Kluyveromyces lactis: one gene and its partners. The protein of the gene in region 5 interacts with the protein of the main gene of each other region in a biochemical or structural test. Links are inferred from orthologs where the notes say so. Each region holds a gene or a part of one and is shown on either strand. Other genes may lie near its edges. The genes, in order: TAF1, SWI1, TAF4, STH1, INO2 and SNF2.

Region 1 (5,371 bases), on a different chromosome or scaffold from region 5:
TTTAGCCAATTGTTCTTCCAATAGTTTCTTTTGCTTCAATTGCCTTTCCTCTTCGTTCTCACCGCCAACAATGGTTATGTTATCGTTGATCAATTCATCAAGACCCAAATTACGCTCCGCCTCTTCACGCCTCTTTTCATACGCACGTAAGTAACCTTGAATGACCCTAGGGTCTCTGACTATAACAGTTTGTCGTTGAATGATACCGTTGGAATCTCTCTTCTTTCTAGTAATCCGTAACACTTTCTCGTCAGGTCTTGTCGAGGGAACATGCTTATTACTTTCATTAACGATATCTGGATCATCCATTTCTTCAAAGGGATTTTGAATGCTTAAAGACTTGGCTTGGTTATACCACGTCCTACTTATTTCTTCTTCATATGCTTTCTGTTGTTGCGCGACATTGTAACTATGACCACCAGCAATTTGCGGTTGATCCTTTGAACCGGATTTTACAAACCCACCCTTCATAGAGGTTTTCAAAAACGAAAAACCTTCACCACAACCAGTAGGATCACCAGGTCCATGTATTTGAATCATTGCTCTCATCTGTGTAGCATTCAAGAAATTCTTGGTAGCATTCCAAAATATTAAGTTCTCCTCCAACTCCTTAGCTCTTTCATCGAAGTTGTAGAAATCAATATCTTCCTGGAACTGTTGACCATAATACATGGATTCAACGAGTGAAACATCTTCAGGAGTAACCATTTTCTTCACGTTTTCGTTATCCAGTAAAACTTCTCCCTCCTTTAGTTTCCAGAAACCTTGATCATCACCTTCACGTTGATACTTCATGAATTCCTTTAATCTTTGTCTGTTTTGCATATCATTTTGTTCTGGGAAATGACGAGCCACCTGTTTCACTAACAGTCTGTTTTCCGGAGATTTGTTCAAAATACGATACACAACCATCCTCAAACGGTTCTTACCCATAGCAGTAACCTTTCTAGAATTCGGACCAGGAACTTCGACCACTGGGAACGTTTGACCGACAGCAAAGAGATGATTAATTTGACGCAAATAGAATCTGTTACCGGACCCATTACCAAGACTTTTCACCAGAAGGAAATCGGTCTTAGAGACCTCATGTTTGAAAACGGGGGCTCTGACCATATTGTTATATAAAGTGGGAACAATGTTTCCTGGACTGACGAAACCAAAATTCCAAAATGGTGATTTATCCTGCACACCTAATACATGAGTCTCACCAACGGGTAATTTTGGTCTGGAGCTGTCTGTTTCTCCCGTCTTTCTATAATAATTGATAAGCTTGTTAGCCATACCAAATTTAGATAACGCAACAGGTTGCTGTTCACTGTATTCCATCAGGAACACTTGAGCACTGTCACCAACAGTCAAGTCCGCAGAATGTTGGAAAATTTCGTGCACATCCTTACCTTTATCCTTCTTTCTCTTACGGGTCTTTATCTTACTGAACACTATGTTGGTACCAGGACGAATCCGTTTCCCGAAATGATTTCTATGAAAGTGTCTCAACTGATCTTTTGGTAACACAACTTTGTAGAATGGAGATTGTAGGCGCGTCGCCGGTTGAGAATGTTCTATATTCAAATTCGAAATTGTAGATCTGATCTTTTTTTGATAGTTCTTTTTCAAAATCTTGTAAGTGTCATCGTTAGAGATGTTGAACTTTGCTAGTAGAGATTTCTCATTATATGGTATTAGAGGTTTAACGACCTTTTGTGCCGATTCGATTTTATTCTCATTAGGCAAAATAAGTAATCGCTCATCATTCATATCAATTGGCGGTTCTTTAGCACTCACCTTACCATTTATGATATCATCTTCGTTCCATTCCCAGTCTTTCCCATCTTCTTCTAAAGTGTTCTCAACTGCTGGCGGATTCCTCTTGTTACTCGTCATTGGCTCCTCATTTTCTCTATCGTCAACAATTTTCTCATAATCCCATTCATCAGCTACAATGAGAAGATCTTCCGGTATCACTTCATCGTGCTCATCTTTCTTGTCATCTACAGTATCTTCTTTATATATCTCATCGTATGCTACTTTGATAACATTTCTTCGTTGAACTTCAGAGAACTCGCTTATAGCACTTTGCCAAGGCTTTACGCTTTTACTCCTCATCTTGAACAATTTTTTTGTATCCTTTTGAACTTGAAACTTCACTTTAATGGGTATGAGAGGTTTTAAAATTCTGTTTCGAAGGTATAACTCCCTTTGCCATTGATACTTCGCCAACGGTTTTGGAGCTATCTTGGTCATTCTTAGGACTCTACCCGGCTTTAGCTCAGGGAAATAAGACTGAAATAATAACTGTTCTTCCTTCGCATTTTGTTCCTCTTGTTTCCTTCGCTGTTCCTCCATTAACCTCCTGTGTTGCTCATCATATTCGTTAAATTGGTGTTGTTCTGGACCAAATGACTGATATGTGCTCTCCATGAACAATGCATTATTACCTTGTACTTCAAATCCAGCAGCGTCAACTTCATGCATCACATCACCATGGTCCATCAGAGTCATATATTCGTCGTCTTCAGTCAGACTCCGCTGAAACGACCCTTCATTATGCCTGTTCGGAGAATGGGATGGCTCTTCTTCCTCCGGTAATTCTTCATCTGCCAATTCATCTTCATCTTCAAAATCAATAGCATTCGGCAGATGCTCTGTTTCATCTTGCTTACCATTGCCGCCACCACTAGTATAATTACTAATATCTAATGCCCCAAACTCACCACCAAATAGAGCGTTATACGCATCATCTTCATTGCTGAAATCCTTCTTTGCCTTGCCTTGTTTCTTGCTTCCTGAGCTTCCAGCAACCCTAGGCATTTCGCAAAAATGGGTGTATTATGACTGGAATCAGATTAGAATTCTGTTATTGACAGAAATATTGGCTCACAGAGTTGAATGAACCTATTTAACCACCCTTTTTATGACTTCGAGCACTCTTTACTGAAATGTACATATCAGCTCTTCAACTTTGTTTAGATTTTGATATTGAGGGATCAATCCAGAGACCGGGTAACGTAATTTCAGTGCAATCCATGTAACATAAACCACTATCATGGCCCAGATTGGCCACTTCACTCGAATTAACAAGGTTATATGCAATGTGTAGCATGCACTCATCTCATTTACTGGCTTTTCGTTTCAATAAGTGGTTCGCTGACCTATTAATCGACCATTTTATCCCATTTAAGGTCAATTTTTGTTGATAATTCTGCCAACATGAAATTAAAGCCAAACATCAAGAGCTTAAAGCTTAACAGTGCGAGCAGAGATCTAAAGGTACAATGCGACAATCTTTTAGGTGTTAGATCGACTAACTCGGCCAATTATTTCAGCAAATTTACACACTGAGCCATATACTTAACAGAAAGTGAGAATGTCTTTGATAAGTAGGGCAAATCGTCTTGGAGGTTTCACGACCGATGCAAAGCATTGGGAATACGAATGGTCCACTACTGCTAAACAAAATGAAAATGGTACTGATGAGAAGGTAAAATATAAGTTCAAGCAATGGGTAAAAAAAGATCATCCTTTGAGAGATGTAGTTGAGGATGATACAGATGTTCTTAACTTAGATGAATTTGATAGGACGAAGATAGCTAAGAAAAATGCTCGTGTCCAGGAGAAAAGTGGCCCAGATTCACTCTCAATTAACGATATAAGAGGAGCTGTTGGTGGTTCTGACATTCCTGGGTTCTCAGGATCGGATGCTAAGAAAGAAGCCGAGAGTGAAGCTGCTGTTGAAACTCCTGTGGTTGAAACTCCAGCGGAAGAAACTCCGGCTGAAGATACACCGGCAGAGGTAAAAGACCAAGAAGGCGACGTAAAGATGGAATGATTCATTATATAACGATTACACCTATATACTGTAATTTTACTACGATTCATGGAATCCAGAATGTGGCCTGGACGCCCACTCTCGAATAAGATAAAGACAGTCCTTCATCCAAAGGAGGGCAAGCAGGAAAAACCATCACCGCTTTTGTTCTCCACATAGGACGTATGTGTGCGTTTGAGACATTACTATATAAAACTATTGGCTTTCATTATTCACGTTGTTGGTTTTGATAGTCATAAATGAGATGGCATCGCGAGCGGTTTTAATCGAAGCCTGTATTTCTGCTTCACGTTTGGATTTTTCCACTGCACGGTCTTCCTTATCAAGTTTGTTCAACTCACTCATTATTTTGATCCATTCTCTTGTATCACCAGTACCTGAACAGATTAGTAGCATAGCTGATGAAGGTAGATTTTCATAGATCTTTGTAATTCTTTTCCCCATGTTTTCCAATGCTAGCTCCTCAGTTAGAACTTCAGTGTCACGGTTATTGCATGCGGCAAATTCACGAGCATATTCTAGCTCTCTGAGTCTTCCGACGAAAAGGTTATGTTCATTGATGTGCTCGCATATTTCATCAGCAACCATCTGGTCGTCTTTACATCTAACATGCACTTCATGATTTTCAATCTTAAGTACATTGCTTTGCTTTGAAGCTGAATCGTTTAAAATCATAGAAGATATTCCATTTCGTGAAAGCCTATGGAAAAGGTTTTCTGTATTAAAACCAATGCCAAACGTCAATCCGTTTACGATCTTCAGCTTGGTCAGTTCCATGCATGTTTTAGCGTCTTCATAAGAATCATGGCCCAAGCCTGTATCTTTTTGAATATCAACATTCAAATATTCCGAGGCCAAATACCTTAGGGCTGGTCTGAATGGAGGACCTGCTTTGTGCTCGTAAATAACTGCCGTGTCAACGATATTGGGATGTCTTAGCTTTAAAACGTTAAGGTCCGACTGCAACGAATGTCCAATTAATACATCCTTTGAGCTAATGATATTGAGAAGATCCTCCTGTACATCCTTCAATGTAGTAGTAACGTCGCGTAGTTTTTCTTCGGTTATTCCGCTGTACTTGGTCAAATAATCTATAATTGGAACATCAGGCTTCACCAATTTATCATAAATGAGATCACCGTCGAAATTTACAATACTGCATCGGGTTAGAACATGTCCGTTTTCTGACATACACATTTCACAATCTATTGCAAATGTTCGAGGGCCATCACGGTCAATAGTCTTGGTGTCCGTCCACTCTGAATAATAAGGGGACGAGTATAATTTTTCCAATGTTTCCTTGAACTCTTCTATTAGACCTGGTGAATCCAAGTGAATTGGATAATCATTTTCTATCAAATCATCGATACTCATTAACAAATCACTCATGACTACTTTCTTTTTCGATAGTTGCAGTCTTTTTCTTTCCTTCTCCTTCTTGTTTAAACCGACATTAACGAAAGAGTTATAGGCTGAAAACAAGGAATTCTTCGAACCTGGCGCGCATATAGGTAAGTTGTACCAATACGTTGCTGGATCAGA
Region 2 (5,415 bases), on a different chromosome or scaffold from region 5:
TAATAAAGTCGATCAATCTTCGGAAAATGATTGAAAAGTTGACACAACCTAATCCTTATTTTTCTTACTCTTCTTTTCCTTCTTATCCTTCTTCTCTTTCTTCTCTTTCTTTTCCTTCTTTTCCTTCTTTTCCTTCTTGTCCTTCTTGTCCTTCTTGTCCTTCTTAGACTTCTTTTCCTTCTTCTCTTCTTGTTCAGAGTCTTCTTCATCGTTAGATTCTTCTAGCTTTCTCTTCTTGGAGACTTCAGTCGTATCCACTTCTTCTTCGTGAGCTGGCTTATCTTTATTGTACAATTCGATGGCTTCCTTGATAGCAGATTCATTCTTCAAAGTTGGGGTACCAGAAGCATAGAATTCCAATCTTTGTTCAACTTGTTTCTTTAGCACTTGACCGAAAACGTTAGATGGTTCATCGGAGTAATTATCGATTCTAGAAGCCATAGAACATTTGTTAGCCAAATATCTAGAGATTCTACCCTTGTTCTTAGCACTAGCTTTAGCGATGAAACCACTGTGGTAAATCAAACCATACTTTGGTGTGTTACCTTTAGTCTTCAAAGCTCTGAACAATGCCTTTTCAGCACCCAAGATTTGGACAGTAGAGGCAGCTTGCTTAGAAAGATTGGTCAAAGAACCAGAATGAGAGATCAATCTAGCACCGATAACTTCACCGATCAATTCGGACAAGTTTGGAGCCACAGTGTGCATCTTCTCACATAGGTAATCGTATAATTGTTTCCTGTATTCAACAAGGGAGACAACTCTCTTAGCGAAGATGGTAACGTTTTCCATATCAGTTTCAGAAAGATCTTGACCCATAGAGATACGAGCGTTATCGATCACTCTTTCACTGATACCAGCATCGTTATCCAAAATTTCCGATAAATCGTGCAAGGATTCTTCGTTCAAAGATGCCTTATCCTTAATGAATAGAACGAGTTTAGCAAACTTGTAATTGTCTGGGACTAACTTTGCCAACTCTGGGAAATGCCAACCGTACCATTCCTTCACTCTCATGGCAAAAGTGTTGATATCCTTATCCAATTGATCCAAGAGAGCAATGGCTTGAATGATATGGTTATCGTTTTTCTGAACAGAGAACTTAACCTTAGCACGAGAGTAAGCATGACCCAAACCAAGTTGAGCTCTTTCCAAATCACCAGGTTGTAAATCTTTCAATAATTTGTCACCGTGTAATCTAACACCACGAATCAAATCCTGAGCTAACTCATTAGAAATACAATCAACAAATGGAAAAACTTCTTTAATGGATGGACCTAAGTTCTTATCAGAAATAGCCAAAGTAACAGTCTTCTTAGAAGAACCCTTTGGTAAATTTAAATCCAACAAAGCTTTCAAATGTTCAGAGACTAAACCTTCAGAAATATCATTAGCATTTTCCAAAGCTTGAGCAGCACCTTTGAAAGGAGCAAAAGAAACCAACTCAACTAACTTAGTGAAAGAGCCGAAATCATTGATCTGTTGCTGGACTTCCTTCAAACGAGATCCGATATCATCCTGTTGCAATTTCACTTTGAAGATACCATACCCGGTAGGTTCTTCGAACAAAAGATATTCAATAGGAGCCATTATTTAATTCTCTGATCAATAAAGTTTCCTCGCTACCGTAAAATCTCTTTGATCTGGACTCTTCAACACACACTAACTTCGGAATGAATGAACAAAACTCAAGATAATACAGACAAGTATTAATTGAAATATCGCTGTGCACATAACACAATATACAATATATTCACTGGTCAGAAAGCTCATCTCTCTTTATTGGCTTCGAAATGAAAATTTTCCAAACAAAAAAAAAAGAGCGATGAGCTTGAAAAAGAAAAGCAGAATGGGAAATATATTTTACTTACCCGGCCGCGGCCGGGTAAGTTATACACGTGATCGAATGTATTACCCGGATATAGAATAATTGACAAAATCACGTGACCTGGAATTTTCTTGTCTTTCCAAAAACAAAACAACGAAAGGAAACTCGAAATTGTATTCAATGAATTCAATTGACACTTGACTATCACTACTTTCAGAATGAATATAATTCCCTTGTTTTAGGTTTTATTTAGGCGTGATTTCTCTCCCCTGATATCAAGGGTCAAACGGTAACTTTATTGGTACATACGGATGGACGATCAGTTTTTGTTCCCGGACGAGAGTGATCCAATGAATTCTGGCGATGGCCAGCTTTTCGGTCAAGGAGGTTCGAACGGTGATGAGTACCTTTCCTTCCTTGATAACTCAGGCGCACCCAACCAGCAAGGTATACCTGATAGTAATTTAGGGCCGATGGAAGATGTTAACGCAGGCGTAACGCCCCAGGCTATATTGGCTAGAAATTCATTCTCAACTGTCAATTCACCTCCGTCGATGAAGAACGGTGGAGTCTCTATCTCTCCACAATCCATGTTTTCTCCAGCCGCAGGACCAATTCCTATGAATACAGCCAATGTAGCACCGACGCAGTCTCCCGCCGGCACTACTTCTTTACAGCAGATGTTATCGCAGCGTGGAACGCCGCAAAATGTGCCAAGTGGATCCCCTACAATGGCCGATGAGTCTTTAGCTCAGGCGAGTGCTAGTAGACAGAGCCCTCAGTATATGGATAGAGCCGCAATAATTGCTGCGCATCAACAGAGGCAACAGCAACAGCAACAAAAGCTACAGATGTTGCAACAACAGCAGGCATTCAACCAATTACAGCAGCAGAAACTAAGACAACAGCAGCAACAAGCACAGGCTCAAGCGCAGGCACAGGCTCAAGCACAAGCTCAAGCTCAAGCCCAAGCACAAGCACAAGCACAGGCTCAAGCTCAAGCCCAAGCTCAAGCGCACATACAAGCACAAGCGCAAGCACAGGCGAGAATGCAACAACATGCGCCTCAAGTACAGAATCAGTCTAATAACCAAAGAAACGTTCTACAAAATCTAGATCCAGCCATTCAACGGAAAGTCGGTCAGGAATTAAACACCAAACAGTTTGAACTATTTAGAAAATCATTTTTGGAACATTGCAGGAGAAAGAATCAACCCGCAGATATTGCTCAAATGATTAATGGTACCCAGGTCAGTTTCTTCATCTTATACATGTATGTTCAGAAGCTTAACGGAGGAGAAAACGTCACTAAAGCACAACAATGGCACATATTGGCGAAAAAGATGAATATACAAGGACCAAATGCTGGAGAAGAATTGGCAAAGACGTACTACAGATATTTACTACCGTACGAAAAGTACTTGATGACCCCAGAAGGTATTAAAGAAACTCAAACCAATCGTATCATGTTACAGCAATTACTTCAGGACATTATAAGAAACATTAGAACGAATACACCGCAGTTCCAACCGCAGGTGCAAAATCAGTCTTTTATGCAGGGTCAAAACGTAATACAACCGGATTTACAAATGAAGCAACAACAGATTCCTAAGGCTCAAGGCAAAACAAAGAACACCGTCCCAAAACAAGCAAAACCTAAACAGCCTAAGAAGCCAAGAGTGAAGAAGAAGACTAAGAAAGAACTAGAACAGGAAAGAAAACAAATGGAAGAGCTGCAAAAGCGTCAACAACAAGAAGCGGAGCAACAACAGCAGCAGCAAAAGCTCATATTCGAACAACAATTGAAGAAACAACAGGAAATTATTTTGAAACGTCGTGAAGAGCAAATTAAGAAGCTTCCGAAGGTGTATAAGAGAACGATGGCCAGGCATTATAGTCCCACCACAAGAGCCATCACCACGCAAAATGGGTATGATATTTCAAAGATTTCAGCTCTTGGTGAGATGATACATAATTTTAAACCCATCTTCCTCTTTGCGCCGGAGTTTGGTGTCGTCAATATCAATGCAATTGCAATGCAGTTACAAAGTTCTAATAACCCGGAAGTCAATACCGCACTAAACTCATTATTAGTTATTAGCTCCGATAACACTTTATCAATTCCACTCGATAAATGTCGTGAGCTTTTGGATAACCTCTGTATCTTGGCGTGTCAGTTACTGCATAAACTATTGAAGAAGGATTATTCAAGGATATCAGGGTCTTATACTGAATATGATGAACAGCAGTGGATTAATACGCCTCCCAAACATTCGGATTCCTCTGATACTCATATTGATAAAATTTTCAAGGAAAGCGTCAAAAAATCTGGAGAAGATCAATCTGAATATACAGTAAAGGTAGACTCTTTAACTGGTATAGATTTTTCTCAACTTCCGATCACACCGACGGAACCAGAAATAGAAGTCGATGCGACATTACCTGAAGTCTCACTGGAGAAGGACGAAGATGAGAATGATATTGAATACTTACCTGATTTGTTGAAAGACGAAAATCTCGATGAAATCAAAAAGCTACATTTCATTTCATATATGGATTCTCTAACTAAAGTCAAAACGGAAGTCGGATCCATCTTTAGCAAGTGTCACCGTTCTGGAGCAGAGGATCCGCACTTGTTGATTGTTGACCAATTGACAACAATTTCAATGATCTTGAGAAATCTTTCATTTAACGAACAGAATTCACAGGTAATGGCTAATAATTACCACATGGAAAAATATATTGCAGATACTCTTTGGATGGTTTTCATTCATAGAGATGAGTTTATTTTTGAGCGCAGGGTTTTAAACTTCAAGAAGGATTTGATTTTTATTCTATCTAATATTACACATATGTTGAAAATTGAATCAACAGTAACTTGTTTGTTAATCATAATGCTAGCGTTGAGCTTCGCTGATCCGAAAGATCATATTCAAGAGAATAGCGTCTTGACATATGCAGAGTACACCATGAATGTTGAAAAATGTCAGACATACGGTGCGGACGTCTTGGCTAAACTTCTTTCTCTTGGTTACCCAAATAGAGCACATTTTAAGTCAGTATTAACTGGTGTTTTCACTGAAGAAAATGACGATGATGACATATGCCAGCAGGTTTTAGATTTGTATAACGGGGACGAAAAATTCAAGTTGTTTAATGACATTTTCTCTTTTATCATTTCCACCATCCCCTTCCAACAAATCAATAAAATCCCTAATCTGATTGAAGACTCACTTCCATCTATTTTACAAGCTCTGACAGCTGCTGTTTGCATTGTAAAGTTTATCGATGCTCAAGAGGAGCACTGTATTTTCAAAAATCATAACCTCCCATGCAAATGGCTCACAGCAGAAGAAAATATTGGAGTAAGCCTTCGTAGAATTAGCGAGGCTCTTGCTAATATTGCAATGCAAAACACTAATTTGCGAGAGTTCAAGGACGTTTTAAGTATTATCAGTGGTACAGCTATTCAGTTGATTAGGCTAATGCTAGAAAAGAGTCTTGAATTAGCATTGATTTCGGATCATCCAAAATTAGCTAGAAAGAAGATAATAGAAGAGTTGTCACAAACCCCTAATTTACTTCCA
Region 3 (4,008 bases), on a different chromosome or scaffold from region 5:
GCATATAAATTTTATATATGAATACTTATGGGAGTCATTTTGTCAGATAAAATGATATGTAATGTCAATTATGCGATTTTCTTATTGGTGTTTGTGAATCCAATACCCTTGATTGTTGCGATTAGATCCGTAGTGTTATCATCCACTGGCTTCAAGAGTATTTCTGTACCGAAAACTTTCTTGATATCCCGTAAGAGCCATACAAATCTTTCATCTATTTGATCCTTAGTGATTCTGAGTCTTCCGATATCTTCTTTACCGATGATCATGTATAAAATTGTAAGTGGCAACTGGTTTCTTCCAACAACTCCACTTTTGCTTATTTCTTCAAGTAGATGATAGGCTACGGATGCACCAATATCTTCTGGAACATCCCCAGCGTCACCGATAGCTTCAGAAAAGATTCTCCATCCTTGTTTGTTCTCTGCTACGAGCGTTAGACCCCAACCTGGACTTTTACCTGAGTTTTCACCTCTCCATACATCTGCAGTTATATTTACTTCACAACTAGCAGATTTAAGAACTTTTTTCGCACCATCAATCATTCTATTTACAAGGGAGGGACTGACTCTTGTGGAGTATGAAACACCTCTTATACTTGAAATCATTGTTTTATCCAAGGCGTGCATTGTAATCGGTTGTGCAATCAATGAATCCACAACAAGGTGTACTTCACCACCACCTAAAGGAGGTGAACCTCTCTTCAAAGTATGTAATGCACATTCCCTGACGCCAAATTTTTCCATAATCGGCATCAACCCCCATTTTATCGCATCTATTCCAGCATCATTATGTGAAGATGTTATACCACGGAATAGGATTGAGAATTTCTTCTTTGAGAAGGGGGCTAAATACAACATTGGCTCGGCAAAATAGCCCACAGGTTTACTGTTCGGACATTGATGTGTGTATGAACCACCAGTAATTATTCCTGGTCTGAAGATGACGGTGGTACCAGTGTATGAAATTTCTATTGAACTACCATTCGTTACCGCTTCCATCAATCTTAGAAAAGAGACTTCGTAATCTTTTAAACCCGGATTTAGGTCATCAGAACGTATCTTTTCTATCTTTATAGCTTTTCCTGACAATGTAGCCATTACTACTCGTAAACGAAAGTTCCGTGAACCTTCAAAGGTTACGTATCTGGAAGAGGATGACATGTCCAATTTGTCTGTTTGTCTGTCCTACTTCGTGAGGAATAAATTTCCTGATAAATCTCTTTAGAGTTTTTAATACAGAAAGTGACCTTCTATCGGACGCTAATGGAATGGTTGATGGAAGTTAACTGAAACCTTTCGATATTGGTTTTGTGTTGTATGTTCAGTTAGGCGATGAGATGAGATGAGATACGCTTTTGACAAATTTTTTGCAAGGAAAAGAAATGAGCTTCGTTACCCGGATTATGTGATCTTTCAATCTTGAAAAAATCAAAGCCAGCAAACAATAGCATCTAAATGAAGAAAGAGGTAGGAACTAGATAGAACTTTTTAGCATAATGTTTAATACTCGCACGTTTTTTTATCTTTGTTGAAATCATTAAGGTTGTACGTTTTTCGCTGAAACTGGATTTTAATTGATAGGCCGCATTTGGACCTGTTTTTAAAGATTGACTTATTCTTTTCATAGTTTATTTGCCTGCATTTTTGGGACAAGTGCAATAGGTGTCCTCAAGTATCCAATACGATTCTTTTTACCCCCGTGTTTCACCAGAGAAAACTATCACTATTGGTCTAATTAGTATAAAATACGATGGCAAAATCGCCCAAGAGAAAGAATTCTGAACCGGAAGATTTATCTTCAAATAAACGTTCCAAATCATTCGAATTTGGCAAAGTAGAGAACGGGCTGGAACCCAGTGGCTCAGATTTTGGCAGTGATCTGCCTACGCCATTCGATACTATGGTTACAGAACAGCCATTAGCTCTACCTAAAGCATCATCTCCAACTACAAACCTAGCATCTCCGCGAAACTCAAGTACGCCAAATTTGAAGACGACGAGTACGACAAGCAAACAATCACAGAAAGCAGAACAGAAGAAGAATGCCGGGGGTTCAACAGGTAGTACGACTGCCTCAACTACAAAACCACAGCAAAGTGATCCAGACAAGCTTAGTGATGCTTTGTTATCGGCCGGTGTTGATATAAGAGAGGAAGAGGCATTGCTAAGTAGCACAGTTGCTAGAACAAAAGCAACCGGTATTTCAGCAAATAACCAGGTCCCATCTCATCCTCCATTCCTACATCCTAAGAACATTTCAGATTTCATGAAAAGAATTGCATCAGAACAAAACTTTCATCAAGATTTCAATAAAAACACTGATATACTCGGATTAATGTCTACTGCATGTGAACTTTACATGAGGGACGTGATAACGAACTCTTTAATCCTATCCATACATAGACGGAAAGGTGTTAAACTAAACACGGGAAGGAGGAGTGAAGTGAGTCGTTCTTTGAGGGATTTAGCATTAAGACAAAAGACTCAAGAAGAAAGAAGAGTACAGAGAAGAATAGCACTCGGTTTAGAAAAACAAACAACGGATGCTAGGTTAGATACTGAAGAGACTCAATATCGTGCATCAAATGCAACTGCCAATTTGATGATTGCAGGGGGTAACAAAAAAAAATATAGTTGGTTGACCGCTGGATCCAAGTCCAGCTCGACAGACCTAAAAAATCAGGGAAATGTTTCATCTGCTGTTGCAGCAAGGGGTGAAATGGGTATCAAATATAGAGAAGCAAGAGAAGAACCTGGCATCGTTATGAGGGACCTTCTTTTAGCTTTAGAAAATAGGCGAGTAGGAGTTAATAATGTTATCACTAAAGGATATGCTAGAATCAGAGACTAGCATTTCCAGTTACTTTGAGGAATAATATGAGTTTCCGAGATGTTCTGTAGTATGCATACTTATATAATATAAACCTTTCGATAAATAACATAGAGACTCATACTTGCATGCGAGATTACTTTTCCTTTTCTACCTGACATGTCGCATATTTAATATTTAAAGATAGTTTTCATTTTTTAGTATCTAAATACTCAAAATCACGTCAGAGACAAATAAAGTTTAAAAAAAATAGAGTTTATTAAACCATTACTTCACACGACGCTTTAATAAGTACACTAATGATCGACGCAATTCGGTACCATTTATCGTTTGTATCTATTATATTACTTTTTAACGAATCATATCAAGATACTTTTATATACTCCAGTCTTGTCAATGATTTGGTCATTGGTCAAAGGAGATCATCTAGAGAAATTGGAAACGAAGGAGGTACAATGACGAATTCATAAGAACGAATCTGCATGAACATCTGAAAACTCAATGCATATATATTTTTTTGGTTTTAGTTTGATACTCATGGGTAAACTAGAAAGAGATGAAGACACTAGCTAAACCTCCAATCAACAAAGATAGCGTACTTCTTGGGGCCAAAATTCTGGCACTATTTTCTTTATTGCCGGAATCAGATGTTGAGGTGGAACTTGCAGAGGAGGATGTAGTGCTTGAGATAGGGGTGGTGGCATCGACAGTTCCATTCCAGCAGTATTTTTCGAAACAAGCATCACATTCAGATGGAAGTGTATAATTTAGTGATTCTTGTTTCCGTCTCAATATGGCGCATGAGATACACCCCATAAAGTTCTCATCTTTAGTGAGATTTTTCATGGTGACAGCTTCGAAACCGTTTTGGATCATCTTAAACCTTTCGGAAGTGGAGTACGACATTTTAAACGTAGATGTGTTACTGTTGAAGGACTCCCTTGTGTTTGGCATATAAACTACTAAAGGTGGAATTGATTCTAGATCAGTCAAATTTCTTGCATCGCACCCAAAGAAGGTAGGTCTTGTATTTAATCCAAGATTGGTGAAAGTGTTCACATCTGGAACATAAGGGAAGGCAATGCCTTTCCCTTGCAGACCAAATTGACGAGCGTAAGTCTGAGTCAATGAAAATCCGTCAGGCCAAGATTGATCCGTGTCTGCACTGTTATCCAA
Region 4 (5,329 bases), about 1.4 Mb from region 5:
TTAACAAAGGTTTGGTCATGAAAAATTCAGTTCTTGCAACAAAATTGACGGATCATCTATTTTCTCTTTTAAGTGACGAGAAGTTTGGCAATAAGGTTGCTCACCTCTTTGAAGTTTTAGTTCTTGACCTTCTAATTTTTCAAAGATTTAAAAAGGTGTCATGGAATAACAATATTCGATTAATTTACAAGCAGAAGTTTTTCAATCACATTGCACAAAAAATGGTAAACGCCTTCAAATCTTCTGATAATATGACCATTAAATCGAATTATCTTACCGCAGTTTCTTTAGTTTTAAAGAATACTCCATCAAATATCACCATATCGTATATCACGGACTTGTTACCTCTTCTTCTTCAGGCTCTTGAACTAGAGAATATCGAAGTCAGAATATCATCTCTAGAGACACTAAAAAATACTGTGAATCAAATGTCTCAGTTGGTTACTGAACATGTCCATTCGTTAGTTCCGCTGTTACTTAACTTATTGGTCCCATCGAAATATAGTAACGTGAACGTAAGATTTCTGTCATTAGAAATTCTTCAGACTTTAACAACCAGTGTTCCCCTTAACTACTTGATCCCCATGAAGAATGAAATTATATCAAAACTTCAAATTGGTTTAGATGACTCGAAGCGTAGAGTGCGCAAACAATGCATAGACACAAAACAGGCATATTTGGAATTAGGACAGGTACCATTTGAGTAGTTCTACTTCCTTCAAATAATGAATATACTTAATTAATATATATGAACCGACAATGAACACTTGAGTCTACTGAGTATTTGATCATATGCTGAGAGAAAAAAACACACCTTTGTATGAGCCGCAATGAAAACTCCGTACCTGTACGTCTTTGTAAATATGAGCTCAATAATCTTCATCTTCGTCTTCTGATTCCTCCTCATCGCTCGCACCAACTGGAGCCAATCCAGGTGTGAGAGCTTTATATCTGTGGTCTTGTATCGATTGTGGTAGCTTCTCCTTGAACTGTTTCTTCTTTTGTCTCCTAGATTTTACCTTCCTTACCTTCTTTGAATCTTCTGAGTTGGCAAGTATTTGTTTCTGTAAATCTAACAGTTCTTCCTTATCGTCATAATCCCAACTTTTCAGGTTGCGAACATTTTTCTTCACCACTTTATCCAAATAGGATTTCTCATGATCCGTAAGAGAATTATCTACTTGATGCTTTCTTAGTACTTGTAGCTTAGCCTTCTGTTCTATATCCTCTTGGACTTCTTTTCTTCCAGATATCTTCTTTCTCAACATTTTCTTCTCCCTCTTTTTGATCCGGTATACATCCTTTTCTTGTACCTCTACTCTTTTCTTCAAGTTCCTATCTATTAGTTGTGCTTTCGAGCCTTTGTCTCGGCTTGTTTTCTTTCTTTCTGCATTAACCGACGCAGAACCCGGCAGTACGCTTTGCAACAATGCGTTCACAGCGTTGGTAGCATGAGCAGCTGCAAGAGATGACATTATAATCAGAGAATTTTAGTTCTTCAAACCTTGATTGTCAATACAGAAGACACTTTTGTAACAGTTCGAAGCACTGTAACTATCTCAATCGGGGAACTTGATAGTTCACTCTCATCACATCTCATCTAATCTCATCTCATCTCATCCATGGCGTATTATCCAAATTTTCATTTTAGGTCATGAAATATTAAACAAGAAAAGAAACAATGGTGCCCACTTTAATGCGAATATTTTGGCACGTGATCGAAGTTGGTTTATTACCCGGTTCTTGTTGTTGTTACCCGTACTTTGGCCCATGGCAATAGTGAATGTCAAAGAAAAAAGTAAACACGATAAATAAAATTGTGAAAAAGAGGATGAATTTGAAAACAGTTTGATTTTATTCTGAATTTAGTTTTGACACGAGAAAAGGACGAACAGAGGTTTGTTTTCAACACGGCAACGGCGGCTAAAAAAATAGACGCACCGAAAGCGAAACAGTAAAGAATTCTAGGGCAATAGTACCTGTTTGTATCGCGTTAGCTTTGTGACAACTCTGAATTTTTTTAGCAGGACTTCAGTTATTGTTTTACCCCCTTTCAGAATAAAAAAGGTTTAAAGCTCACTAGCGGGAAGAGACCTGGATCACGTTAAGAAGTGTGAAATAAAACAACAATGGATCAAGTCGTCGTAACGAATAACGCGGATACAGCGCCTCCTTATCCGCTTCCTATAGTGAATTCTGAGAATGTTGATAATGGGAATTCCGAAACTGAAAACCAGGACGTTAACGGCAATATCGAAGACAACCATGTTGGTGCTGACAAAGGAAGCAACAACAATTTTCGGAACGACAGTGGTAGTGCTATTGGACAGAACCAGATTGCCGCTGTTCTAGAAGAAATGAAGAAGGTGGAAAGAGTAATCTTGCCACTACCTGAAACGAAAGAACAATTAGAAAATTTGATTTATCGTTACAGATACATTTCTCAATATAGAGATCATAATAAGCTTGAAGTTGAGGCTATTGAACAAATTTTCACCCAAATCTCGGATAAACAGGAAGAGTACAAGGAAAGGCTGCTGAGGTTAAGAGAAAACGCAGCCAAAGATATTCAGTGGGACGAAAAGTTGTTGAAGGAGCAAATGGTAAGCTTACAGCTTTTGAGTAAAGATATAAATATACCGGATGGCCTCTTAGAGGATGATGATGATGAATCAGTAAGTTCCGACAGTTCTGATATCTCGGTACAACTGGAGAAGGTTAAACTTTCTGTTGATTTCGACGAAACAAGTGTGCGCTTAGGCCTTCCCGAAGCTTTAAGCAACTTTCGTCTTAAATCTGGAAATGAAGCCTCGCTTGGAGATTGGGAGGTTGAAAAAATAATCTCCACACTCATTGCGAAAAGAATTAAACAACTTGAAAATCTACCCTCTAATTTGGGAACATATTCTTTAAATGATGCGCTTGATTTTGTAACTAAAGATGATATTCCTACCGGCGCAGACGACTTCAAGTTAAGAGCTTTGGTGGAGCTCAAGTCCTTGAAAATGCTAACGAAACAGAAATCTTTGAGAAAGAGGCTGATTGAAAGTGTTGCAGCTAAATCGCATAATATCATTCCATCTCTCCGTGACTCTCCTTATACTTTAGCAGCTCAAAGATCCATTCATGTTAGACCGAAGACCATCGTTCCACAAACTGCTAGATTAGCAGAAGAACTTGAAAGGCAGGAATTGGTAGAAAGCAGGAGAAGAGAAAGAAACTTACGGTTACAAAGGATCAATAATATTGTATCAAGTATCAACGAAAGATTGGAGAATGATACAACACAACGTGATCGCTGTTATCAAATGGGTAGATCTATCGGAAACTTGCATGGTCATTTGGAGAAAGATGAGCAGAGAAGAATGGAAAGAACTGCCAAGCAACGTTTAGCAGCCTTGAAGTCCAATGATGAAGAAGCATATTTGAAATTGTTAGACCAAACCAAAGATACAAGAATTACACATCTATTGAAACAAACTAATTCTTTCTTGGATTCTCTTGCTCAAGCGGTTAGAGTGCAGCAAAATGAGGTACGCATCAAAAGGGGTGAAGAAATTCCTCCAATCACGGATGAAGAAAGAGAAAAAATTGATTATTACGAGGTTTCCCACAGAATTAAGGAAACAGTAGACAAACAGCCAAGCATATTGGTTGGAGGCACGTTGAAAGAGTATCAACTAAAGGGTTTAGAGTGGATGGTGTCTCTATACAATAATCATCTTAACGGTATTCTCGCAGATGAAATGGGTCTAGGTAAAACAATTCAATCCATCTCGTTGATCAGTTATCTTTATGAAATAAAGAACGAGAGGCAACCATTTTTGGTGATTGTCCCTTTATCCACCATCACGAACTGGACTATAGAATTCGAAAAATGGGCACCTTCTCTAAGAACCATTGTGTACAAAGGGAACCCAAACCAACGTAAGGCTTTGCAACATACAATCAAAATGGGAAATTTCGACGTGGTTCTAACTACTTATGAGTACATTATAAAGGATCGTCCACTGTTGGCCAAACACGATTGGGCTCATATGATTATCGATGAAGGTCATAGAATGAAAAACGCTCAATCAAAACTATCTTACACGTTGACACATTACTACAAAACAAAAAATAGGCTAATTTTAACGGGTACTCCATTGCAAAATAATCTACCAGAATTGTGGGCTCTATTAAATTTTGTTTTACCTAAGATCTTTAATTCCTCAAAAACATTTGACGAATGGTTTAATACACCATTCGCGAACACAGGTACTCAAGAAAAGCTAGAAATGACAGAAGAAGAAACGCTTCTAGTTATTAGAAGATTGCACAAAGTTTTACGTCCATTTTTGTTACGTCGTTTGAAGAAGGAAGTCGAAAAAGATTTACCTGACAAAGTTGAGAAGGTTGTGAAATGTAAGCTATCAAGTCTCCAGCAGCAACTATACGAACAAATGTTAAAACATAATGCTTTCTTTATTGGTGCAGGAACAGAAGGTGCAACCAAGGCTGGTATCAAAGGTTTGAACAACAAGGTCATGCAGTTAAGGAAGATATGTAATCATCCATTCGTTTTCGATGAGGTTGAAAATGTTATCAACCCAACGAGAGAGAACAGCTCCATTTTGTATCGTGTTAGTGGTAAATTTGAACTTCTAGACCGAGTTCTTCCAAAATTTAAAGCGTCAGGTCATAGAGTATTGATGTTTTTCCAGATGACTCAAGTTATGGATATCATGGAAGATTTCTTAAGGATGCGAGACCTTAAATATATGAGATTGGATGGTGGTACCAAAGCAGAGGATAGAACTGGAATGTTAAAACTGTTTAATGCACCCGATTCTGAGTACTTCTGCTTTTTACTTTCTACCAGAGCTGGTGGGTTAGGTCTAAATTTGCAGACTGCTGATACGGTCATTATTTTCGATACTGATTGGAATCCTCATCAGGATTTACAAGCCCAAGATAGAGCTCACAGAATTGGGCAGAAGAACGAAGTTCGTATTTTGAGATTAATAACAACCGATTCCGTCGAAGAAGTTATTCTAGAGAGAGCAATGCAAAAATTGGATATTGATGGTAAAGTTATTCAAGCCGGTAAATTTGACAATAAATCTACTGCTGAAGAACAAGAAGAATTTTTGCGTAGATTATTGGAAGGTGATACTAACAAAGACGATGAATATTCTGGTGAATTAGACGACGAAGAATTAAATGAAATTCTCGCACGTACTGAAGACGAGAAAGTGCTGTTCAAAAAGATTGATGAAGAACGTGTAGCTAATGAGAAGAGAGAAGCCATCGATTTAGGTTTGAGAAAGCCACTGCCGAGGTTGATCAC
Region 5 (4,062 bases):
CAATCAAGCTCAGAAGGCAACGCACTCCAGATAGACGACATATCACCCTGGGAAGAACTAACTGATGAACAAATTATTGAAAGAGCATCCAAAGCTCCTCCAGGTTCAATGCCATCGATCGACTTCCCACGTTCTTTATTCCTAAAAGGCTTTTTCTCTGTCCAAACAACATCTTCTAAACCATTACCTGTCGTTAGATACAAGATTATTAGTACGTTGAAAAAGTTAAACATCGAATTTACAGAAGTAAAAGGCGGTTTTATCTGCTGTCACAGACAATCTTACGTATCTCAAGAGCAGCCTCCAAACCACGGTAGGCATCCTTCTATTGTTATTAATGAAACTTCTTCATTGGAATCAAACAGCTCAACAGCAAACTCCCATAGAAAACAATTGTCAATACCATCACGTCATGGTTCCATTAGAAGACATGGTTCACTCAAACAACCAGGAATCCCAGCCACACCTCTGGCTGCTGCAACGCATGAACGAAATCTGTCTGTCACTTCGCCACGTACTAGTACTGGGCAAATCCTAGAGGAAGTTTCTACTGCATCCTTCGAAACTCTGAATAATCAAGAGGACATATTGACTAATTCAAAGGCACAAGATATGAATAAAGTTGTTATCGGCAATAAGAATGAAGCAGGTAATAAAGAAAGGCCACCTTTGAAGTTTGAGATACATATCGTTAAGGTCAAGCTTGTTGGCTTGGCTGGTGTCCATTTCAAGAAAGTTTCTGGTAATACATGGATGTATAAGGAATTGGCTACACATATTTTGAAGGAATTAAATTTATAGATTAAAACTGTATACACACTATGTATGCCATAATCATTTCCTAATGCAAGTCTAGTTTATAATGTTACATGCCACTTTTGTCTCATTATGTCATTACATTTTTCTCTATGCAATAACTACGTGAGGAAACCAAACGACTATTCTAAGAAACTCATTTACAAAGTTGTTCAAGCTCCTCATTCGCCAGTAAAAGCAGCTGGATGTCCTGGACGATATAATTTAACAGTGTATGTTTCGTGATTCTTTTCCCTTCCTTCTTCGGGAGTTTGTAGTCAAGGGAGATGATTTCTTTTGATTTCGGCAGATTCTTATGAACTTCAGTCCAAACTGGTCGTGGATATCGTATCATCCCGATCAACTCATCGTATTCTCTTTTGAAAGTGTTTCTTCTTTGTTTCTCTAAATAGACATGTTTCCACCTTCGCAGCTCTGCAGCATCGCTTGAGATATCTTCAGGAATGACGTGTTCAGGAACTTCAACGATAGGAATTTTGGGATCAATTGGCTTGTACTGTTCATATGATTCGAATATTGGAAGAATCATGGGTTCTATCGTAGTAGATTTACCTTTACTACCATTGTCATTTTTTAGAATATCCTTGGAATTTACATTATTGTTTTTTTCTTCATGAGATGGGGATGCCGCAATGGCAATCTTTGTGTCCAGCCTTTCTCCCTGCTTAGTGGTTGACTTATCCTGGAAATGTCTGGATATTGTGGTTTGTAGTTCAGTATGGTCGAAAATATAGGTATGAGGATCAGCTCCCAAATGTTCCGCATTTCGCATAAAATTTTGAGCCAGTTTCGGAGAGAAAAGGGCGGCATTAGAAGCCTTTGACGGTGAGGTAGTTAATAAACTATCCAAAAAGTGCTCAATTGCATGCGACTCGTTCACACTCAACAAACCTTCGTTATGTGAGTTTCCAGAGTGTTCACCAAACGCCCCGAAAGGTGATGAAATGTGGTTTCGGGGAGTCTGCGGTCTGCTACTAGGAACAGAATGGGTGATTTGTGATGCAGCTGGCTTTGTGTCTTTTTCTTCTTGGAAAGCTCTATCTCTATTGACTACTTTGTCAACTTCCTCATCAGTATTAGTATGCTGATCCCCTCCTGTCGAAGCATTCTCTGGAACAACAGTCATATGGTTGAAGAACTGAGAATCATCTACAAGATTCATATGAAATTGATCGTTTGAATCATCCCATAGTTCCGCTTTCTCATTAATTAACTCATAGGCAGTCTCGAAATCTAAACCTTCCAAATCCATGTCCAACAGAGAACCGAGGCCACCTTGGCTTTGAGCTTCCATTGTATTTTCAGAAAATCGGTTAAGATCTGTATTGCTACTGAACACTCCACGCGAATAGTTAAATGTCTAAATGTTTGCCTGCGTCCAAAATACCCTTTTATAATTAGATGGGTACTTTATAAATCTATCAAACGCAACAAATCTAGGTATACTTGTACCTCGAATCTCCATGCACTCATATATCAAACTCCGCAGATCTAATAGTCCAGCTAATAGTCAACGCTGTAATAACTCGATATAGCAACTTATATCACTCAATGGCTATATGTTTTTCTGCAACGCACCTCCAATAATTCATTCACATTACATTGTTGGACCTTACTATAAACTAAGATGTACTCTGTGATGTTTTCCGGTAATCGAGCTTTTCGTCAGTTTCTATTGAAATCCGGACGCTCTGGACATTTTCACATGGAGAGGATTTAAAGTCACGTGTAAGAAGATATCACGTGAACGGGCTTTTCTCGTATATCGTCTATCACTTAGCATCGCGCGAGCTACAAGTATCCACTCATTAGTCGTGATGGAAGTACAGCTCTCTGGCTGTTATAGTAATCAAATATGACAGCCCTGATCTAGCAGTCACGGTATGACTTCGCCTTCGAGAAATGAAATGGTTTTTCTTTGCTCAATGAGAACTGCATTGTTGTGCCGTCTTGCCTCGTTGCAGAAGAAGCAATCCATTTCAACTTGCTGAACTTCTTGTGACCTCTGTTTGAGATTTTCAAGATCTCGTTAAATTCAAGCCCATCTTTTCTTCTATTCCTCTTGATTGTCAACTGATCAAGGCCGTCGTCTAATGACAGGGACCACGAACATATATCTGAGTCTTTTCTTTCAGAACATCTTTCTAAAGAGAAACCAGGTACCACTATATTTGGTTCGTCAGTAGTCAATAATCTAATGCATCTTCCATCTGGATAGAATCTGAAGTACCTGTAATAAGTGATCATGTGGATTGGGTTCAACAGCGAAGATGATCCTTCCGGGATCGATCCGTGCCTCAAATAATTCACCACACTGATATATATTCCATGGAACTTGATATACGGCCGTTCCTTTAGCATCTTTCTATAATTTTGACCCCATACGGTTTCTGCTAGTGCTTGTATATCTGATATACCGTTTAGCCTCATCTCATTTTCGTTGTATACTTGCTTCTTATAGATGTATTCCGCGAAAGTCCGGTACGGTGAGGAATCGTGGAAGCATAGCAAATTAAACTTTTTACAAGTCAAAGATAGGTTCATCCACGAGTCTGCTGAGCTTAACACAACCATGTCTATAATCATGGATAATATATCGTCAGGGAGCATATCCAAAATCCAGCAGGGAAGTTCAACAAGGTCTTCAGTTTGAGAAAGTCCTTCAGTTTCCTCTTTTCTGCCGTCCGGATCAGTTTCCGATGAACCATCAACAATATTGACATTAGAATTGAGCTTAAGCTTTTTCATCTCTTCATTTAACCGCCATTCATCATGCATCTTCTTTCTATATAGTTTCTCAACGTCCGGATTCATCCTTAATGCTTTACGGTAATATTTGATCGCGTCGGTCATAGCACCGGCAGTTTCCTTCGAATAGCCCAACTCCCATAGTGCTATAGCTTCAATCGGTTCCTCCATTACGCGTTGTTATTTTTCGTGCGTTAGGCCCCTTGGTAATGAGTATGCTTCCTCTCTCTTTTACCTTATATAGCCGACTAGCTTTTTATGCTGTTTACGTTTTGTTCAGCTTTACGCAACAGGAACGAATATAAAGTTACTACCGAGAGATGGACAAGTACGCACAATGTTGAAAAATATGAAGTGGATTCCTTGTCAGTAGCTGCCATCCTCAGCAAATCGGATTTCTTGATTCTTATCTGACTAAAAAGTAATATTAAGTACATGGCATATTTAATATATGAAGAGCTATATAACTTCAAAGTTCATTAATATGTGAATATCACA
Region 6 (5,313 bases), on a different chromosome or scaffold from region 5:
GTTTTCCATCTGTGTTCTGATCCTTTGAGCATCCAACTCCTGGAATACTTTTATTTCATTTTCGTTTCTCGCCAAGATTTCATTGAGTTCGTTATCATCCAACTGCTCTTCTTCTTCAATGCCTAACTCACGTCTTTTCTTTTCCTCTTCCTCAGCTTCTAGTAACGATCTCAATAATGCCTCTTGTTCTTCAGCTGTTGATTTGTTATCAAACTTACCTGCTTGAATAACTTTTCCGTCAATGTCCAATTTGGCATGCGCCTTATCAAGAATTGCTTCTTCCACTGAATTGTCTGTAATTAATCTAAGAATACGCACTTCATTCTTTTGACCGATTCTATGAGCTCTGTCTTGGGCCTGTAAATCCTGGTGAGGATTCCAATCAGTATCAAAAATGATAACGGTATCTGCAGTTTGCAAATTTAAACCTAAACCACCAGCTCTTGTAGATAAAAGGAAACAGAAATAATCAGAGTTTGGGGCATTGAAAGTGTTTAATAATGCAGTACGATCATCAGATTTAGTATGACCGTCTAATCTTAAGTATTTCATGTCAAGATATCTCAAGAAATCTTCCATGATATCCATAACTTGCGTCATTTGGAAGAAAATTAGAACTCTATGACCGGTAGCCTTGAACTTTGGTAAAATACGTTCTAGCAGTTCGAATTTACCGGCACTTCTCCAAATGGTATCGTTCGTTTCCCTTGCTGGATTGATTTGATCTTCCACTTCTTCGAATACGAACGGATGATTACAAATCTTCCTGAGTTGCATGATTTGATTGTTAAACCCACGAGAACTAGAGAACTTCTGGTTACTTGAATCATCAAAAATGAATAGCCTACGATGCTTCAACATCTGTTGGTATAATTTGTGTTGTAATGCACTCATCTTACATTTCAAAACCTTTTCTACTTTATCAGGAAGATCTTTTTCAACATCTTTCTTTAAACGACGAAGCAAGAAAGGTCTGAGTACCTTATGTAATCTTCTAATGACCAATAAAGTTTCTTCTTCGCTCAATGCTATCTTGTCTTGACCACCAGTGTTTGCAAACGGTGTATTGAACCATTCATCGAAAGATTTCACAGAATTGAAAATTTTTGGCAAAACGAAGTTTAAAAGGGCCCATAGTTCTGGCAAATTATTCTGTAAAGGGGTACCAGTCAAAATCAAACGATAATCAGAATGATAATATGTGTTCAAAGTTAAAGAAAGCTTAGATTGAGCGTTCTTCATTCTGTGACCCTCATCAATAATTGTGTGAACCCATTTTATCTTAGAAAGTAATGGACGCTCTTTGATAATATATTCGAAGGTTGTTAACACTACATCAAATTCACGATTTTTGATTAACGCTTGTTTAGGTTTACGTTCCATTGGAGGACCCTTGAAAGCTATCTTCCGCAACTTAGGTGCCCATTTATCAAACTCTGCATTCCAGTTGGTCAAAGTGGATAACGGAACAATAACTAAAAATGGACCATGGACCCCCTTAGCTTCGTACAAGTAGGTTAAAAGAGAAATTGTTTGAATAGTTTTACCTAGACCCATTTCGTCTGCTAAGATACCGTTCAAGTGGTTATTGAAAAGAGACACCATCCACTGTAGACCTTTCAATTGATATTCTTTCAAAGTACCACCTACAAGGATGGATGGTTGTTGTTTCACTTCTTCCTTGATACTATGAGCAACTTCATAATAATCGATTCTCTCACGTTCCAAGTCATCATCAGAGTCTGCTCCGTTTTTATCACCCACGTTGTCTTCGCTAAGTTCCTGAGTGTCAAGGTGAGATTCGATCTTATCTTTAGTGAAAGACTGTTGATCCTTAACAGCTTTGGTTAAAGAATCCAAGAAAGTGTTAGTCTGTTTCAACAAATGCGTAATTCTTGTGTCCTTTGTCTGATCCAACAACTTAATATATGCTTCTTCATCGTTAGCTTTCAATGCTTGCAAACGTTGTTTGGCATTTCTTTCAATTCTTTTCAATTCTTCTTTTTCCAAGTTCGTGTGTAAGTTTATCAACCTGTGACCTAACTTAACACGCTGAGCTTTTTTATCTATTCTCAAATCATGTATCGATTTACAACGGTCCAAGATTGAATTCAATTTAGAAGATTTTTCAAGTTGTTGTTTTTCGTACTGTTGTAATTCTCGTGATTTAAACAATTCTCTAGTCAACAAAGCATCTTGAATGTTTAAACCACGATTTTTGGATAAAAAGTTAGGATGAATATTAGTGAGAAGTGTGCTTTGATACCATTCAAATGACAATACATAACCTCTAATAGCTTTTTGTAAAGGAAGTAACTGCATTGCATTATAGTCCATAATCAATTCCCCTTTATCCTTTACTTGAGAATCTGATTCTAATAGTTGTTGCAAACAAAAATCCAGTGATGTATCTAAATCCAAAGCGATGAGAGTTTGGTAAGTTTCCATAGCAGACCTTGGATCCAGACCAACGGGTAACAGACTGGGGGTGATAGAAAGATTTTGTTGGTTAAGAAGATCCGTATAACTAATTGGTGGTACCAACGGTGTGGAGCCTGGAATGCCGCCTTGTTCTGGGTACGAGAAACAATCCACCATAATATGCGGTGAAGCTACGTCGATGTACTTTTCTATATCTTCATGTTGCTTCTTGTATGTGGATAAAAGAGCGGGAGGTTCTTGTTTTGGGGGGTCCTGGTCCGGAATAGGAGGAGAAATAGGGCGCGAAGGTTCCACCATTGGGGACTGAACTGCCATAGGAGTGGGTTCTGACGTCACTATAGGAGAAGCTGGGTTTATATTTGCCGTGGTATTTACCAGTTGAGCAGGCATGTTATTTTGTACAAGTGGTTGCGAAGCTGCTGCTACTGGTGATTCCACCTTACCCTTTTTGGGTTGACGAACCTTCTGTACTGGTTTCTTCACGCCTTGGCGTACCTGAGGCGAAAGCTTCTGCTGCGGTACATTATTCTGTTGTTGTTGTTGTTGTTGTTGTTGTTGTACTGGAGGTTGCATCTGCTGGCCAGCATTATGAGCTTGTAAATCGGCACTCAACGCCAGTAGAATGGATTTGAAATCCAGTAAATTGGTCAAAGACCGATCAATGACCATCATAATCTCTGGTGGTACGACCATGTGGTTAGCCATCATCTTAAGAGATTGGATCTGTGCCTTCAACAAGAGCGACTGTTCATCTGTGAACAAAGACCGTGATGATGACGCGTTATTATTATTATTATTATTATTAGAATTAGAATTAGAATTAGAATTGGTGCTAGCTGGCGTATTCACTCCTACTGTTAGACCAGAAGCCGGCGCGATCGGCTGAGGTCCTACCTGTGGTGACATATGTGGTGGTGGTACCGCTGTTGCTGCTACAGGGCCCATACCATTACTGCCAGGGGTATAAGCAGACGGAGTCGGTATGTTATTCGGCGAAGCCGAACTAGCTGCTGCTGCTGTTGTTGCATTCTGCAATTGCTGCTGCTGCTGTTGTTGTTGTTGTTGTTGTTGTCGCTGCTGCTGTTGTCTGGCAGCCATCCTCAACACAGCCGTATAGTACTGGTACTCCTTCATAGACTCGACATTCGCACCATGTTCGTTACGAAGCTGCTGCCACCGCAGGTAGCAACGATTAATCTCTTCACGCGTATATTCCCTCCTGGGAGGACTGAACTCTAAATCCATTGCCAAAACAGGCCTATCGCAACACTAATACTAATACTATTACCAGTAATAAAAACGCTTGTCACTAGCAAAGAGAGCAAAGCAATTCTTAATTCAAGCCGAAGCTAAAGGATAAACAAAAAACAGAAAAAGTACTGCTTAGCCGCCGACGATATGGCACTGCAGACTATCCGAAAAGTAAAATACCAACCGAAGGAAGTTACCTTAAACACACGCAAAGCCTGTATGCACAACGGTTCTGTTGTTTTCTGTGTTTATTTCCCTTCTCCGTTTCCGTTTACTAAAGTTATTTTGTTTATGTTTTACAGCGTAACACAAAAAAAAATTTTTTTTTTGTGTAAATTATTCGCTTTTGTAATCATGCTTTCTGTGTGAATTTTGACTGGCACTGGGGCTTAAAACATGGGTTTAAAGCACACTTTAAGGCAAGTTTAAGACATACGTTTGAGGCGTTAAGAGTATGTCGGGATGGAACTGGACAATAGCTGCGGAATATACAAGATGACGTGCTGCATGTGTGTATATAAGATACATAGATATGGATATACATTTTAGGGATGTGCGCAGTACATGCAAGTGTACAGTGGAATCTGATATGGATTGAATGGATATAGTGACAGACCCCCCCCCCCCCCATCCCATTCGTCTTGTGAGAAATTAAGTGAAACAAGAAAGGCACAGAGAGTGAATTAGAGACTGAGGTAAGACTAAGTATGACTTGCTGCTATGCTGATTCTGTGCCGGGCCTTAGATGCATAGGAAGTAACGTGTGGATACCTCTTTTTTTTATTTCTGCTTATTCTTTCTTTCCACCGATTCTATCACTTCTCTGTTCTATTTCTACATCATTTGTTGCCCTGTGCAACTAGGCTTTTGATTTCTGATCGTTCACTAGTGCAGGCAGTAGTGTGACTAGTAGAGTAGATTAAATACTCATTCTCCGTCTCTCTCGGAACTGAACACATCGGTAGGGGGGTTTTTGCTATGTTACGTTATATGTTATGTAGCTGTACCAGATAGGAAATGGAAGAGAAGGAAGGGGAAATTGGAAATTAGAGAATGGTCTTTGAAAAGAAAAGCTGCCTTTCTCTGTGTTAATCTCATGTTCTATGTATGTGTACGAGGTTATTTGCCCCACTCATTTGGCAAAAGCTAATTCCAATTTTTTTTTTTTACGTTGACAAGATACATGACCGTATTTGATTGCGGAATTAGACGGGATCAAAACTGGTTAGTTAAGTAATCAATTCTGTTCTATTCTCTATCAATCCGACAGTAGTACTTTTTTTTCCTAATTACCATATCATAAGATGTCGAGGTGAAATTAAGTTGTGCTTCTCTTTCTCTCTCTCTTTTTTTTTTTTTTTTTTTTCTTTTGCGACCACCAGGAACGGTTCTAAAACAGGACTTAGTTAACCCATTATAATTCGGGTATTTTCCCTCATTCCCATTCTGTGATTCTTAACTCTCTATAAATGTTATGTCTTCACTGGGTCAATCATTGGGCTTTGGCTCTTCTTTTGCGCAATTCACCTTTTTGAGATGTACATGGCAGGGCCTTTTTCTTTCAGCCGCTCTGTAGGCAGTAAAAAGAAACGGCGAAGTGAGGTGCCTCTTAACACCTGC

The links.
Region 1: the proteins of INO2 (region 5) and TAF1 form a complex in vitro, tested with the Saccharomyces cerevisiae proteins (2 studies listed by BioGRID). The link is inferred for Kluyveromyces lactis from reciprocal best matches to the Saccharomyces cerevisiae genes INO2 and TAF1.
Region 2: the proteins of INO2 (region 5) and SWI1 form a complex in vitro, tested with the Saccharomyces cerevisiae proteins (2 studies listed by BioGRID). The link is inferred for Kluyveromyces lactis from reciprocal best matches to the Saccharomyces cerevisiae genes INO2 and SWI1.
Region 3: the proteins of INO2 (region 5) and TAF4 form a complex in vitro, tested with the Saccharomyces cerevisiae proteins (2 studies listed by BioGRID). The link is inferred for Kluyveromyces lactis from reciprocal best matches to the Saccharomyces cerevisiae genes INO2 and TAF4.
Region 4: the proteins of INO2 (region 5) and STH1 form a complex in vitro, tested with the Saccharomyces cerevisiae proteins (2 studies listed by BioGRID). The link is inferred for Kluyveromyces lactis from reciprocal best matches to the Saccharomyces cerevisiae genes INO2 and STH1.
Region 6: the proteins of INO2 (region 5) and SNF2 form a complex in vitro, tested with the Saccharomyces cerevisiae proteins (2 studies listed by BioGRID). The link is inferred for Kluyveromyces lactis from reciprocal best matches to the Saccharomyces cerevisiae genes INO2 and SNF2.

Annotation. Positions count from the first base shown.
Region 1 is NC_006037.1:879,443-884,813, forward strand, and holds the start of TAF1 (histone acetyltransferase), read right to left. Parts: upstream 2,812-5,371; coding exon 1-2,811. Other genes in the region: RTT102 (Rtt102p), read left to right, coding at 3,368-3,829; RNH70 (Rnh70p), read right to left, coding at 4,025-5,371. UniProt on the Saccharomyces cerevisiae protein: Functions as a component of the DNA-binding general transcription factor complex TFIID. Binding of TFIID to a promoter (with or without TATA element) is the initial step in pre-initiation complex (PIC) formation.
Region 2 is NC_006040.1:1,041,252-1,046,666, reverse strand, and holds the start of SWI1 (Swi1p), read left to right. Parts: upstream 1-2,139; coding exon 2,140-5,415. Other genes in the region: snoRNP complex protein NOP56, read right to left, coding at 49-1,590. UniProt on the Saccharomyces cerevisiae protein: Involved in transcriptional activation. Component of the SWI/SNF complex, an ATP-dependent chromatin remodeling complex, which is required for the positive and negative regulation of gene expression of a large number of genes.
Region 3 is NC_006039.1:526,061-530,068, reverse strand, and holds TAF4 (Taf4p), read left to right. Parts: upstream 1-1,752; coding exon 1,753-2,853; downstream 2,854-4,008. Other genes in the region: RCL1 (rRNA-processing endoribonuclease), read right to left, coding at 69-1,163; PLB3 (lysophospholipase), read right to left, coding at 3,379-4,008. UniProt on the Saccharomyces cerevisiae protein: Functions as a component of the DNA-binding general transcription factor complex TFIID. Binding of TFIID to a promoter (with or without TATA element) is the initial step in pre-initiation complex (PIC) formation.
Region 4 is NC_006042.1:436,484-441,812, reverse strand, and holds the start of STH1 (RSC chromatin remodeling complex ATPase subunit STH1), read left to right. Parts: upstream 1-2,129; coding exon 2,130-5,329. Other genes in the region: MET18 (Met18p), read left to right, coding at 1-707; RRT14 (Rrt14p), read right to left, coding at 870-1,475. UniProt on the Saccharomyces cerevisiae protein: Catalytic component of the chromatin structure-remodeling complex (RSC), which is involved in transcription regulation and nucleosome positioning. RSC is responsible for the transfer of a histone octamer from a nucleosome core particle to naked DNA.
Region 5 is NC_006042.1:1,810,777-1,814,838, forward strand, and holds INO2 (Ino2p), read right to left. Parts: upstream 2,111-4,062; coding exon 953-2,110; downstream 1-952. Other genes in the region: serine/threonine protein kinase KIN2, read left to right, coding at 1-801; SCF ubiquitin ligase complex subunit HRT3, read right to left, coding at 2,686-3,735. UniProt on the Saccharomyces cerevisiae protein: Positive regulatory factor required for depression of the coregulated phospholipid biosynthetic enzymes. Also involved in the expression of ITR1.
Region 6 is NC_006038.1:740,579-745,891, reverse strand, and holds the start of SNF2 (SWI/SNF catalytic subunit SNF2), read right to left. Parts: upstream 3,688-5,313; coding exon 1-3,687. UniProt on the Saccharomyces cerevisiae protein: Involved in transcriptional activation. Catalytic component of the SWI/SNF complex, an ATP-dependent chromatin-remodeling complex, which is required for the positive and negative regulation of gene expression of a large number of genes.